3 linked regions of the Oreochromis niloticus genome follow. The protein of the gene in region 3 binds, or shares a complex with, the protein of the main gene of each other region. Links are inferred from orthologs where the notes say so. Each region holds a gene or a part of one and is shown on either strand. Other genes may lie near its edges. The genes, in order: mcm4, gins2 and gins4.

Region 1 (3,751 bases), on a different chromosome or scaffold from region 3:
CACTGGTCCTGTGGATAAAGTGACTAATAATATTATTATAGATAGATATTATAGATATAACAATAAAAAATAAAATAAATCCTTCACAGAACAAAAAGCAAAATGACATTCGTTACAATTTGCTTCTGTATTTGTCTTTGGATTCATTCACCTATCCATTTGTTTTCTATATAATCTTGTTTGTGTTACATTGTACATCACTTCTCCCTTTGCATTTGCATCCACTTATTTTATTTTTATTTATTCATTAATTTATTCAAGACATTGCTGTATCGCATTACTTCATTATAAAAATCAGAAGGCTGCCATTTCACTCATCAAGGGCTCAAGTTTTCATCCTCCGTTTAATCCGTACTCACACATACACCGAATGAGGGAATGAAAACAATGGTAAAGAAAAAAAATAAACAGATGATGGCAGATGAAGCGAGCTTTACCTGTGGGTAGCAGATGAGCTGTCTGTAAAGATCTGCATCAAAGGACTGCACGTGGCGGCAGTTCACGTTCATCACAGGATCGCCGACGACGCTGATCTGTGGGACGAGAAGAGAAGCACGTTGTGTGATATTACGTCTTTGAATACAATCCCGCGCAACCGCCTCCTCCTGTATTCTCTAATTTCCTGGCTATTGTTCATCATTCAGAAACACCATCATGCAGTGCGAGTCTGACTTAAACACGTTTGGAGCAACACAAACAATAAAAATTGCACCTCCTCCAGCTTCTGCATGTATAACGGCTCGTTCAGGTCCAGACCAGCGTTCTCATCTTCAGTGGAGGTCGGGTCAACAAACCTCTGGAGAAACCTCTGGAAGCAGCGGAACGCAAAGCATGCCAATGTTAACTCATGGACTGCCTACATGAGATTTATTATGGGATTTAGCTGCCTCGGCTCAATACCTGAAACTTTTCCTTGCAGGTGCCGACATTCACATCAGTCCCCCAGATCACCAGCCTCTGCCCGGCGTTCGACTCGCTGGCCACGGCACCATCTGTGCTCGGCTGAGAGAAGACAGTGAATAGTTAACTTCTGAGGGTTCGGGCTTCATGTGAGCTCAATACATGACAAACACAAGATTACTGACCGGCTCAGAGTGAAGATCGACTTGGGGAGCCTTCCTGACCGATCCCAGATCAGGACGCTGCCTGGCTGGTGTGCCCCGCACTCCGCTCCGTGGGGTTCCCTCAATCCTGGAGCTGGGGGTCCCGTACATCAAGGGGGAGCTCATGTCCACCTCGTTAGGGGGCACTGTTAAAAGGAGGCAGATTTATAAAACAATCCAAGAATCCAAAATTTGAGTCCACAAGACCACAACAACTCAAACACGTCATACCCGAAGGTCGGGGGCTGGAGAGCAGAGACGTGTCCTGGGGTGCTGCAGGACTGAGCACGTCCGTGGCTGGGGAGGTGGGCATCGGCATCAGGTCCCCGGTGGAGGAGTCCTGACCTCTGCGGCGCTGAGAGGGAGGCGAGGTGGGGTCCTCGCTGCTGGCTAAAGTCGCACAGACACGAAGAAAAGTAGGCAACGGTCATCATACAATCACAGGAGGTCCATATGCAAAAGGTTGGAGCAAGTGGGGAACTTACGTGTGGGTGGATTGGTGTTCCTTCCACGCTTACGGCCACCAGGGGTTGAAGCTGGAGAAGACATTGCTGCTGGGAAATCAACAAAAGGTGACACTCAGTGAAGGAAATGTAATAACACTTGTTACATACTGTCGCTCTGGCTGTGGGACATCACTGATGGTGATGGCTTCAAGTTTGACTGAGCATTTGGAAAACTGACATTCACAGATGTGGCTGGCTGAAAAACTTTAATTATTTCCTTTTTGTTTTATTAGATCTTTTTTCAGCTTTGTGGAGAAAATGACATGAGATGGATATAAACTGTGGGCAGCCTGCTTTTCGCTACTTGGATACTTGGATCCATGTTATGAGTGTGTGCTTGAATCGCTTCCAGATATCAGTCAAACAGCAAGAAAAGTTCACTTAACTATATAAATGACACTTCCGGCACGCTGATATGCTACACTGCGTGTCTTTTTTAGAAGTTTTGAAGTGTCTTATTTTCACTAAAGCACTAACTGCATTAAACCCTCGACCTCCATTTGACATGTGGCTGCAGAGCACACAATAAGCTGATCCTCGACTGCGATGTTTTAACTTCGATTAACATTAAACGTCAGCGTAAAACAACAAAACACCTTCGTGCACGTTTAAGTCAACCTGATTCGCGTATCACGCTTTCACGAAACCACCAAAACTACCGACGTAATAACCTAAAAACTATCATTATACATGTCTCTTCTTACCCCTTCTTGTGTATACGTCCGAGCGGAGAAGATGTGGCGCGAAACTGCGGGTGACGTTATTTTCGCGGGGAACTTTGGGCCAATGAGAGGCTGGGATTGTCTTTCTTTTCTTTCCGGTCGATCCCTTCACCGAAAAAGGGGGGTTCTTGTCCAGCGTTTACTTATCCGGCTTCAGTTTAGCATCTTGTAGACTCAATAAACAAACGGATTAAATAGGAAATAAATAAATAAATGAACTTTTATTTTTTAATTTTGATATGTCAAATAAGATCTGCGTTTCCTGTGCGCTCATGTGCTCCTTCAAACCCTCAATCGATTTGGTTTGGCCCAGCAGTAAGGGACTTTTTTTTTGCCCCTGCCCTAATCTTTATTGTAACAATCCAAACAACACGCAAGTGTGAAACCGCCTCCCAAATACAAAATGACAGCAAATCCGTGACAGGCTACGGATGTAAAGATGTAGCATTTGAATTAATACAACAGCAGAAGCTAACCGGGAAATACTATTCACCCTCTTTTCCTAGTCTACATGCAGGATGTATGTTCACCCGGTTATGTTACAGCGGTGGTTGTACTGGTTTTCACTACAGTCAGAGGTACTCATGTAGGCCAGTGGGTGAGAAGAAACAGCTCTCAGTATGATGAGGTCCAGCGCATCCCACATTTTTGTGTTCACAGTAATGCACAGAAGTTTGTGTACACTCATTGTGGCCATGACTGTCATGATGATTTGGGGTTTTTAATGATTTCTTTAACTGATTTTTTCCCCTGTGTTGAATGATTGTACAGCATAAATCTTTAATGGCTCCACATGCACTCACTTAAATCTTTTTATAACTGGTACTGAAGGTTCTGCAGTGTCTTTTAACTCAACAAGGAAAGGGCCTATTAATTTCCCATTGTTGATTATGATCGACTATAAGTAGACAATGCTGACCAACGGAGAATCATTGATGGCTACCAAAAGCATCTGGGTGAGATGCAACTTGACATTTGACCAAATATTAGTAGGGCTGTATAGTATATCTGAGTCTGTATGTATACATTTGACCCTGGAAAATGAACAACTCAGAAATCATTAAAAACCCCAAATTCACCATGACATCAATGCCCATGATGAGCATATGCAAACTTCTGACTACAGATGTAGAGAAGGAGGACATGCAGAGGTTTGGCGTGACAGAGGAAGATGCTAGGGACAGGGTGAGATGGAGGCTGATGATTCACTGTGGTGACCCCTAAAGAGAGCAGCTAAAAGAAGAAAGCCTAAAAATAATTTGAATAATTTTACATGAGTTTAATACATTAAGTTATGTCATATAAAGCTAACAACTACAAAGCATCTGCACTTTTTGTGCTGGGTAAGCAAGTTTATGGCTTTGATCATGTTAGCACTTTCACCTGTATCCTCTCCATGAAGCACAGATTCAGATGCATT
Region 2 (3,751 bases), on a different chromosome or scaffold from region 3:
AATTGGGGGAACTTAAGGTGATGACACTTTTTCTTAAGGACCTCAATATGCAATGGGTCCACAAGCTGAAGGGATACTAAATAAATGCACATTGTGCTTCTATGTGGAACTGGTAATTCTGTCTATTATGCTGTTGTATTTCTACTTACTTTGCATCTGTTTTCAACTCAATTAAATGTTCAAAACTCAATGGTTAAGTGACAGCAGAGAATACTAAACACCCTACATGTGATCAGTTTTACCTTGGCATAAGCTTCCTGCTGACTGATGAAACTGTCAGCAGACAGGCGGAGCTTGGCAATGCGAGTATCCCAGATGTCTTTGACCAGTGTACGGATCTCATCTGCTTTAGGAATGTTGTCAGACGCGCTGCAGAAACACAGAAACCTCTCTTTTAAGGGGAGGCGGCACATACACCAAGCACACAACAGTACTGAGGGCTGTATTTCTGTGGATTACTTAATTGTATATGACTCACTGGTTTAGTAGCAGCTTGGTAAGCTCCATGTAGTAAGGACTGGGAACAGGTGTAAACATATCCTCTTTTCTCTCAAGGTCTCGCATCTCCTCCAGTTTCTCTGCACAGTGAAGCAAAATGTCAACAGCAGCAAACTGCAGCGACACACAAAAATGCTATGAAAGATTTTCAAGATTCCTCTCTTTTCAGCTGACTTTTGTAGGAGAAGCAAAACAGAAATTCCAAATAAAACCACCAATGAATTGATTCTTTTCAGCATTTCTTACAGCATACAGACCAACAGTGACATACATATTTTACACATTTTGCATTTGTAACTAACACAAAATCTGAATAATTTACCTCTTACAACTAAGAGAACAATCTTACTGCATTTCTTGTGCCCATTTTTTTTTTACTTACCTAATGCAAACTTGGAAAAATAGTCGTAGGAGATAAATATTTTAGCACTATTTACAGTCAAAGTTATGGCAAGGCAGGTCTAGGCTTAACATGGTAGGCTAGTAATGATTACAAATGTTATAATGTGAAGGAAATAATACTCAAAATACTGAAAGACCCTCATGTGAAACATTTTTAAGTAATCCTGTCAGCATTAAAAGGAAAAACCTGAGTTCATGCCTGGAAACAAACACCTGCAAAGACCGCATCAGGAAAAACTTTGAACTTTACCAACATCCATCCACTCAGGAGGAATAATTCTACACTTCTGTCTCTGTTTTAGGTTTAGAGCCAGCCACACGGGAACATCAATAGGTAGTCCAGGGTTGAAGGGACCCAGATCTCCCTGAGAACACAAATACACATATTTTATCGTGCAGCACAATGCATTCCCCACTTCAGTGAAGTTGGAAAGCTACACATTTGCATTTTCATGATTAATAAAAAACATTGCTAGAAGATAAACAATGTCTCTTTCCAACAGCAGTAACTACAAGCTACAATCTGATTTACATCAAACGAGCCATCCTGAGAGCTTGATGAATAACAAAGGTTCTCTTGTGCAGCCAGCTATGTAAAAAATACAGAAAAATATTCCATGACTTTACTCTAGTAAGTAAGTTAAATTTTATTTATATAGCACCTTTTAAGATAAAATCACAAAGTGCTTCACAGAAGCTAAAACAAAATCAAAATCAACCAAAAGCAAGTTTAAAAAGATGAGTATTTAGCTGTTTATTTCAAAAAAAGACCACTGAGTCCGTAGATCTCAAGCTCAAAGTGAGCTTGAGACAGTACAGTGTACTGTCGGTAAATTCACATCATGCTGCAGGAGGATCTTGTTAGCTGTTATTTATTTTTATTATTTAAAAAGAAAAAAGGGGGGTTTGGAAAATGTTCAACAATTCTCTTAAACCTCATACACTCTTCATGGTGACAGTCAACACATTAATGCGCGATTTTTGGAGCCAAGTCTGCTTTGTTTATATAACACATTTAAAACAGAAGTCGACCCAAAGTGTTTTACAGACAGGCACAGTTACATTCCAAGTCTCCCCAAAAAATAAAATAATCTAAAACAAACAAACAAACTACAAAATACATAAAGCTGAAAAGTGCGTTTTATTGCAGCGCTGAGCCTGTATTTACTTGATCGATACTAAAAACTGCAGTATAATATATCAGTAATCGTTCGGGGTACTTTTTGAAAGGCCAAAGATACGGTACCGAATATTATTGGAGCTTCAATTTTTTCGAAATATATTTAGACATATTTTATTTTAGCTGGAGCGACTTATATTTATGTAAAATGGATTGTAGTTCGTTAAAGTCACCATCTGGAGTTTGAGAGATGAAGCTTTTTTGTGCGTGTTTTAATCAGTCGCTGAGTGAAGTGATCCACTCAAACAGAAATATCTTTACATACATACATACCTTCAGCTTTATACTGAGTGTGTCGTGATATAACACAAGGTTTTAGCACAAGGTTTAGCTAATATTTCTACAGTGACTGTCAACGTCTCAGTATCTGGTCAAAAACCAGCTGCTTAAATACAGACACGGCTGACTTACCCCGATTAAAAAGACTTTATCTAGGCTGAAATTTGGTATTATCTTCACCATCTCTTTCTCCGCAAGGAACTCGACCTCCGAAGGATCCATATCTGTTTGTTTTTTTGTATGTGTGTTCAAAAACTTCCTTCCCACTGGAACTGCACTACAAACCGTTCCCGCGCTGAAGGCAGCATAAACCGACAATGAAGGCAAGAAAAAGCCAACTACGTCATCAACAGGAAGCGCAGTATCGCAAAAGTGAACATTATTGTGTGCCGTTTTACGGCACGTCACATTTTTATTTTTTGTTTTTCTGTATAATTTCTCTTATCTCGGTGGAAATTGCATTTTTAAAATTGTTAACTTACGCTTGAGGCGCGGGCCTGGCCGTGACGAAGCTGACCATACCTTAAATTTTAGTTTAGCTTTGTCTGGCCCGGAAGAAGGAAGTGGGCCATGTGACAATGACAGCAGTTGCAACTAAACTCCACCAGATGGCAGCATTCACCAGGCAATAACAAGAAAGGTGGCAGTGACCTTTTTCATGTGAGAACAAAGATGTTTTTGTCAGTGACTGGGTCTAAACCCATTAGAATCGTGGGTGAGGAGGCTGAATCAGTGGACAGCTAACAACAGATACTTGGTGTTCAGTGACAGACTGTACTGAAGAACCTACAGCGATGCTGTGTACAAGAAGGGGATCAACAGATTACTTTCTGAGGAAGTCCAGATCCTTCAGTGTGTTCAGCAAGATGTTGAAGAACTTCTAACGGTCTGTGCCAGCATCCGGGCCAGCTTTGACGGAAGGATCATCAGTCTATCTGGAGGCATTTGGGTCAGTGAGAGACAGGAGGTCACTGAACATCATGGACAACCCATCACACCTGCTCCTTTCTACACTACAGAGCTCATTCTCCCTCAGACTTATTCAACCTTGTTGCCATAAAGAACCATTCTTGCATTACCAATCTGCAGAATTCTGTTTTACATAACCTCAGTCTTATTATGTTTTCTATTTCATTCATATTTCATTTTTTATCACAGTTTTACATGAAATTTTCACATTTTACAGCCTTCGGTGTTTTCCTATCGTACTTTTTAAAAATATTTCTGTTGTTCATTATACTGTTTTTATTTTTATTCTTTCTGCTGCTGAAGTAATTTCCCTTTTGGGATCAACAAATCCATCCAAAGGATTCTTCCTGGGTTGTACAAACGGCCTCACAACATTCACACCACACATCTCAAATAAATTTGCTGAGATAAAACGAACAAAGA
Region 3 (3,751 bases):
CTGCAAGTTGGACTCCTGTTGGTGACAAAACTGTCAGAAATTAAAGGGTCCTTTTATTCAGGTCTACTCAGAATGACCAGAAAAGCAACAGCCCTGGGATATGTTTGAATATCACAGTGTTAATACCATCCTAATCATCTGAACTGAATGAATCTCCACAGCTGGATGTATAGTAATGTAATCAAGGTCCTACTGACAGGCAGCAGCTTTAGATAGTAGTTTGCCACAGAGCAAACCACATTGCCCTGAATTGTTTGAGATTTTATTTTGAAGCCACCACATTACATTTGACATGACCATCAAAGTCTTGATATCAATTGCAGGTCTTCCTATAGATCAATTTATCCATACTAATAAAACTAAATCATAAGAAAACCAGCAATGAAGTGCTGATCTGTCAGGTGACAGAAGAAATTAAAACATTTTTGTAATAATTCAAGTAAATGAACAAAAAGCAGAAATCTCAGATATTCCCGAATTCAACTTCTATATTTTGAACATTTGATGATGTTTTTTGACCCACTGAAAAGTAAATTACTTTCTTTAAACTCCAACTGAAAAATAAATTAATTTGTGTGTATAAAGTGGCATTTTGAGCTCTAGTGAATTGTAATGGGTATTTTTCTACAAACCTTTGCTTTTTATGGGTTAAAAAAAAGCAAAATTCACAGTTTAGAAGAGGTGGAATGCACCTACTTTTGTTTGTTGTTTGTTAAGACACTTAACATTGACCTATGAATCATCCGAGCACGAAAAGGTACCGAATTCGAAGGAAAAGCCAGTAATGCGTCTACAAAAACAACAGACAACTTAGCAAAGAAGCTATTTTAACGTGTTACTTTAGGGACTTTGCTACTGGGAGCCTGTAGCAAAAAACACATTCTTTGTTTTCAATCCTTTAGTTGAATCTATTAAAAATGCCAAAGAAAAAAAACATTTTACAGGTATGAAATTATATTTCTACACCAACAAGATGATTCTCACTGAGCTACTAACCATTGAGAATCAGCTTGGTATATCTCAGCATGTGTGCCATTAAATAAAATTGTGCAAACTGGACAGGTTCTTTTCTGAACAAGTCATTTTTCAGCATGGCAATGATCCCTAACACACTGCCAATGCAGTAAAAGCATACCTGGATGGGGAAAAAAAACAAAAAAAACCCCCCAAACATAAAAAACAAAAACAAAAAAAAAAACCCCACACAGTGGAACACTATCAGTCATGGATTGGCCTCGACATTATTGAAGCAGTGTGGGATCATGTTGACAGAGAACAGAACAAAAGGCAGCCAACATCAAAGAGCTTTTAATGTCCTTTAAGAAGTCTGGAGAACAATTCCTGAAGATTACTTAAAGAAATTACAAGAAAGCTTGCCCGAGAGAGTTCAGGCTGTGTATAACATAAAGGTGGTCATACGGAATATGGACTTTCAAGCTCATTAGAATTGTACCAACTCTTTTGCCTTACATTCTGCATGTCAATTTCACTACATCATAGCAAAACATAAAGAAGTGAGAGGTGGCTCGAGACTTTTGCACAGTACTGTATATAGTTTTCCCTCTGCTGCATTTGAATCAGTCATGCACATTCTCATAGGTTGCAGTCCTTCGCGTTTCAGTTGCTGTTTTGCAATTCAGAAACTCAACTATAACCATGCATGCTGCTGAACATTAGAAACAACCCACACCGCAGGAGGTATTCCCCGGGTAGTTTACCATATGAGTCAGCTGCTCCATCACACACTCCACCACCTCTGATTTGTTCTCCAGCAGCTCCGGTGAGAACTTCTCATTTAGCCAAGCCTGTGGGCGACACACACGGACACAACAGTGAAGACGGTGCTGAATATCTAATAGAGGTGAAGAGTCTGCACGTCAGGGGAATAATCTGGCCTACTTCTTCCAGTTTAGCGATCAGCTCCGCCGGGGTCATAACATCCTCCTGGGTGTCATCCTGGTTGAAGTCGCTGCCGTCATCAGACAAAGCGTCCGACATGGTTTTCAGTAAAAATACAACGTTTCACCAAAACGCAGAATATCTCTTGAATTAAAAATAAATTAATAATAAAAACAGAGCAATTAAAACTGAATAATATGAGGGAAAATGTACCAATGCGACTACTACTGTCACAGCAGCCACAAGTTAGCGGAAAAACTCGTTGTTTATTCGCGCCACTGGGATTCTTCTCGCGAGATTTACAATGTGCCCATTTACCTGAGTTTAGCTTGTCAGGCAAGCCTTCTCGTAGGCTTAGTATAGTTTTTATTAATAATTGGACGGAGCATTCAATAAAAGACAGTAAATTAGTTTCTAGACATTCAGGAAGGATATTGATCGGGGATGTTGAGGATTTTCTGCTACAGGAGCGCAAACTTTAAAAGTTCAATGAGCCCGGTTTTTCCTGAAATACAAAACTGAGGGAATCTAATCTATATAACACGTGCTGTGAATACGAGCAATACACTCAAAATATTGCATGTTGCTGAAGATTGTTGTAAGTAATGCTAGAGTGGTAGAAAGTGGTGGGAGAAGCATTTCTATGGCGTTTTCACGCATCATAATTAGTGGTTATGTTATTGTGCTTATATTGCGAGAGATATCTTTATATAGATTTATTATATATTTTATATATTTACAGATAATTACTGCTAATACTATCAAATATATAACTCAAGCATTAATTATGATCTAGAAAAACCTCATAGAAATGTTTCCTATACCACTAATAGACATAATATAATAGACACTATATAAAAGACAGTGACAGCACAGGGTACGGCATATTCACTCAAGAAATACCAAAAGATTGTGATTATTACAAACACACAAAGAAATAACTGATGCCGTAGAAGTCAGTTTGATTTCCTAAGTCAGCATGTCATTCAATTTGATAAAATTTAATTGCCAAAACAACAGTTGCCAGTAAACAGTAAAGGTGCTTTGTATTGTAAAGCAAAGACTCTAAACCAATAAAAAGAAACTCAAACAATCAGATGAATCATTATGAGCAAGCGGCTCCCTTTTAATGGGAAGAAACCCCAGGCAGAACCAGGCTCAGGGAGGCCGTGCCGTGAGTGGTCGGGGATGAGTGGGGAGGGAGGAAGCAAAAACGACACTGCGGAAAAGAGCCAGAGATTAAAAATAACTAATGATTAAATACAAAGCAGCATATAAACACACAGAGTGTGAATAGAGTTGAGTTAAGAAGAAATGCTCATTGCATCATGGGAAGCCCCCCAGCAGCTTAGGCCTATTGCAGTTTAACTAAGGGAGGGTTCAGGGTCACCTGATCCAGCCCTAACTATATACTTTATCAAAAAATGAAAGTTTTAAACCTAATCTTAAAAGTAGAGATGGTTTCTGTCTTCAAAATCCAATCTGGGAGCTAGATCTACATGTTATCTGGGCTCTTAATCTGCAGTTTCATTAGTGTGAATTCAGAGATCATCTGCTTCACTCATTGCAGCTCTTTCAGACAGCCTTACTGCAGTATCTCATTTGTCCTATTTGCTCCTTCTCGTCACTCCTCATTGCACTTGCTTCAAAGTTCTTTCATATTTTTTCCCTGCACTGCAGCCACCATAGTGATGTTCAGTGTTGCACGCTATCAGCATCCTTTGAACTTATCTGGACTACATCAGACCTGCAAGGTTGCAGCTCTCACCACATGCCTCAGACAGCTGCAGTTTCCTTAATGCACATCAGCAAACACAAATAACAGAAAGACTATATTGAGAAGAATTTGTCA

Evidence for each region.
Region 1: gins4 (region 3) and mcm4 share a complex: the UniProt entries of both Homo sapiens proteins name them as parts of the CMG helicase complex. The link is inferred for Oreochromis niloticus from reciprocal best matches to the Homo sapiens genes GINS4 and MCM4.
Region 2: the proteins of gins4 (region 3) and gins2 are in contact, whole or in part, in a crystal structure (PDB 2E9X), measured with the Homo sapiens proteins. The link is inferred for Oreochromis niloticus from reciprocal best matches to the Homo sapiens genes GINS4 and GINS2. Residues at the interface, in NP_115712.1 of Homo sapiens: Pro23, Ala24, Ile27, Glu28, Glu31, Trp34, Met35, Lys38, Phe39, Gln57, Met61, Leu73, Lys74, Ser76, Ile77, His78, Met80, Glu81, Arg84, Ile85, Tyr87, Val88, Ser91, Asp166, Asp168, Ser169, Tyr170, Val171, Phe172, Val184; in NP_057179.1 of Homo sapiens: Met1, Glu5, Phe8, Leu9, Glu11, Lys12, Phe21, Leu23, Asp24, Lys25, Ile26, Tyr27, Leu28, Ile29, Gly30, Trp47, Leu48, Asn51, Leu52, Arg55, Lys57, Phe135, Gln139, Glu140, Ala141, His142, Ala143, Lys144, Leu145, Asp146.

What each region holds. Positions count from the first base shown.
Region 1 is NC_031982.2:18,517,440-18,521,190, reverse strand, and holds the start of mcm4 (DNA replication licensing factor MCM4), read right to left. Parts: upstream 2,421-3,751; 5' UTR 2,314-2,420; intron 1,658-2,313; 5' UTR 1,653-1,657; coding exon 1,589-1,652; intron 1,494-1,588; coding exon 1,335-1,493; intron 1,250-1,334; coding exon 1,086-1,249; intron 1,003-1,085; coding exon 901-1,002; intron 809-900; coding exon 713-808; intron 534-712; coding exon 438-533; intron 1-437. UniProt on the Homo sapiens protein: Acts as a component of the MCM2-7 complex (MCM complex) which is the replicative helicase essential for 'once per cell cycle' DNA replication initiation and elongation in eukaryotic cells.
Region 2 is NC_031965.2:23,289,664-23,293,414, reverse strand, and holds the start of gins2 (DNA replication complex GINS protein PSF2), read right to left. Parts: upstream 2,710-3,751; 5' UTR 2,582-2,709; coding exon 2,492-2,581; intron 1,266-2,491; coding exon 1,151-1,265; intron 579-1,150; coding exon 479-578; intron 370-478; coding exon 243-369; intron 1-242. UniProt on the Homo sapiens protein: Required for correct functioning of the GINS complex, a complex that plays an essential role in the initiation of DNA replication, and progression of DNA replication forks.
Region 3 is NC_031977.2:13,065,442-13,069,192, reverse strand, and holds the start of gins4 (DNA replication complex GINS protein SLD5), read right to left. Parts: upstream 2,178-3,751; 5' UTR 1,999-2,177; coding exon 1,900-1,998; intron 1,806-1,899; coding exon 1,719-1,805; intron 16-1,718; coding exon 1-15. UniProt on the Homo sapiens protein: Required for correct functioning of the GINS complex, a complex that plays an essential role in the initiation of DNA replication, and progression of DNA replication forks.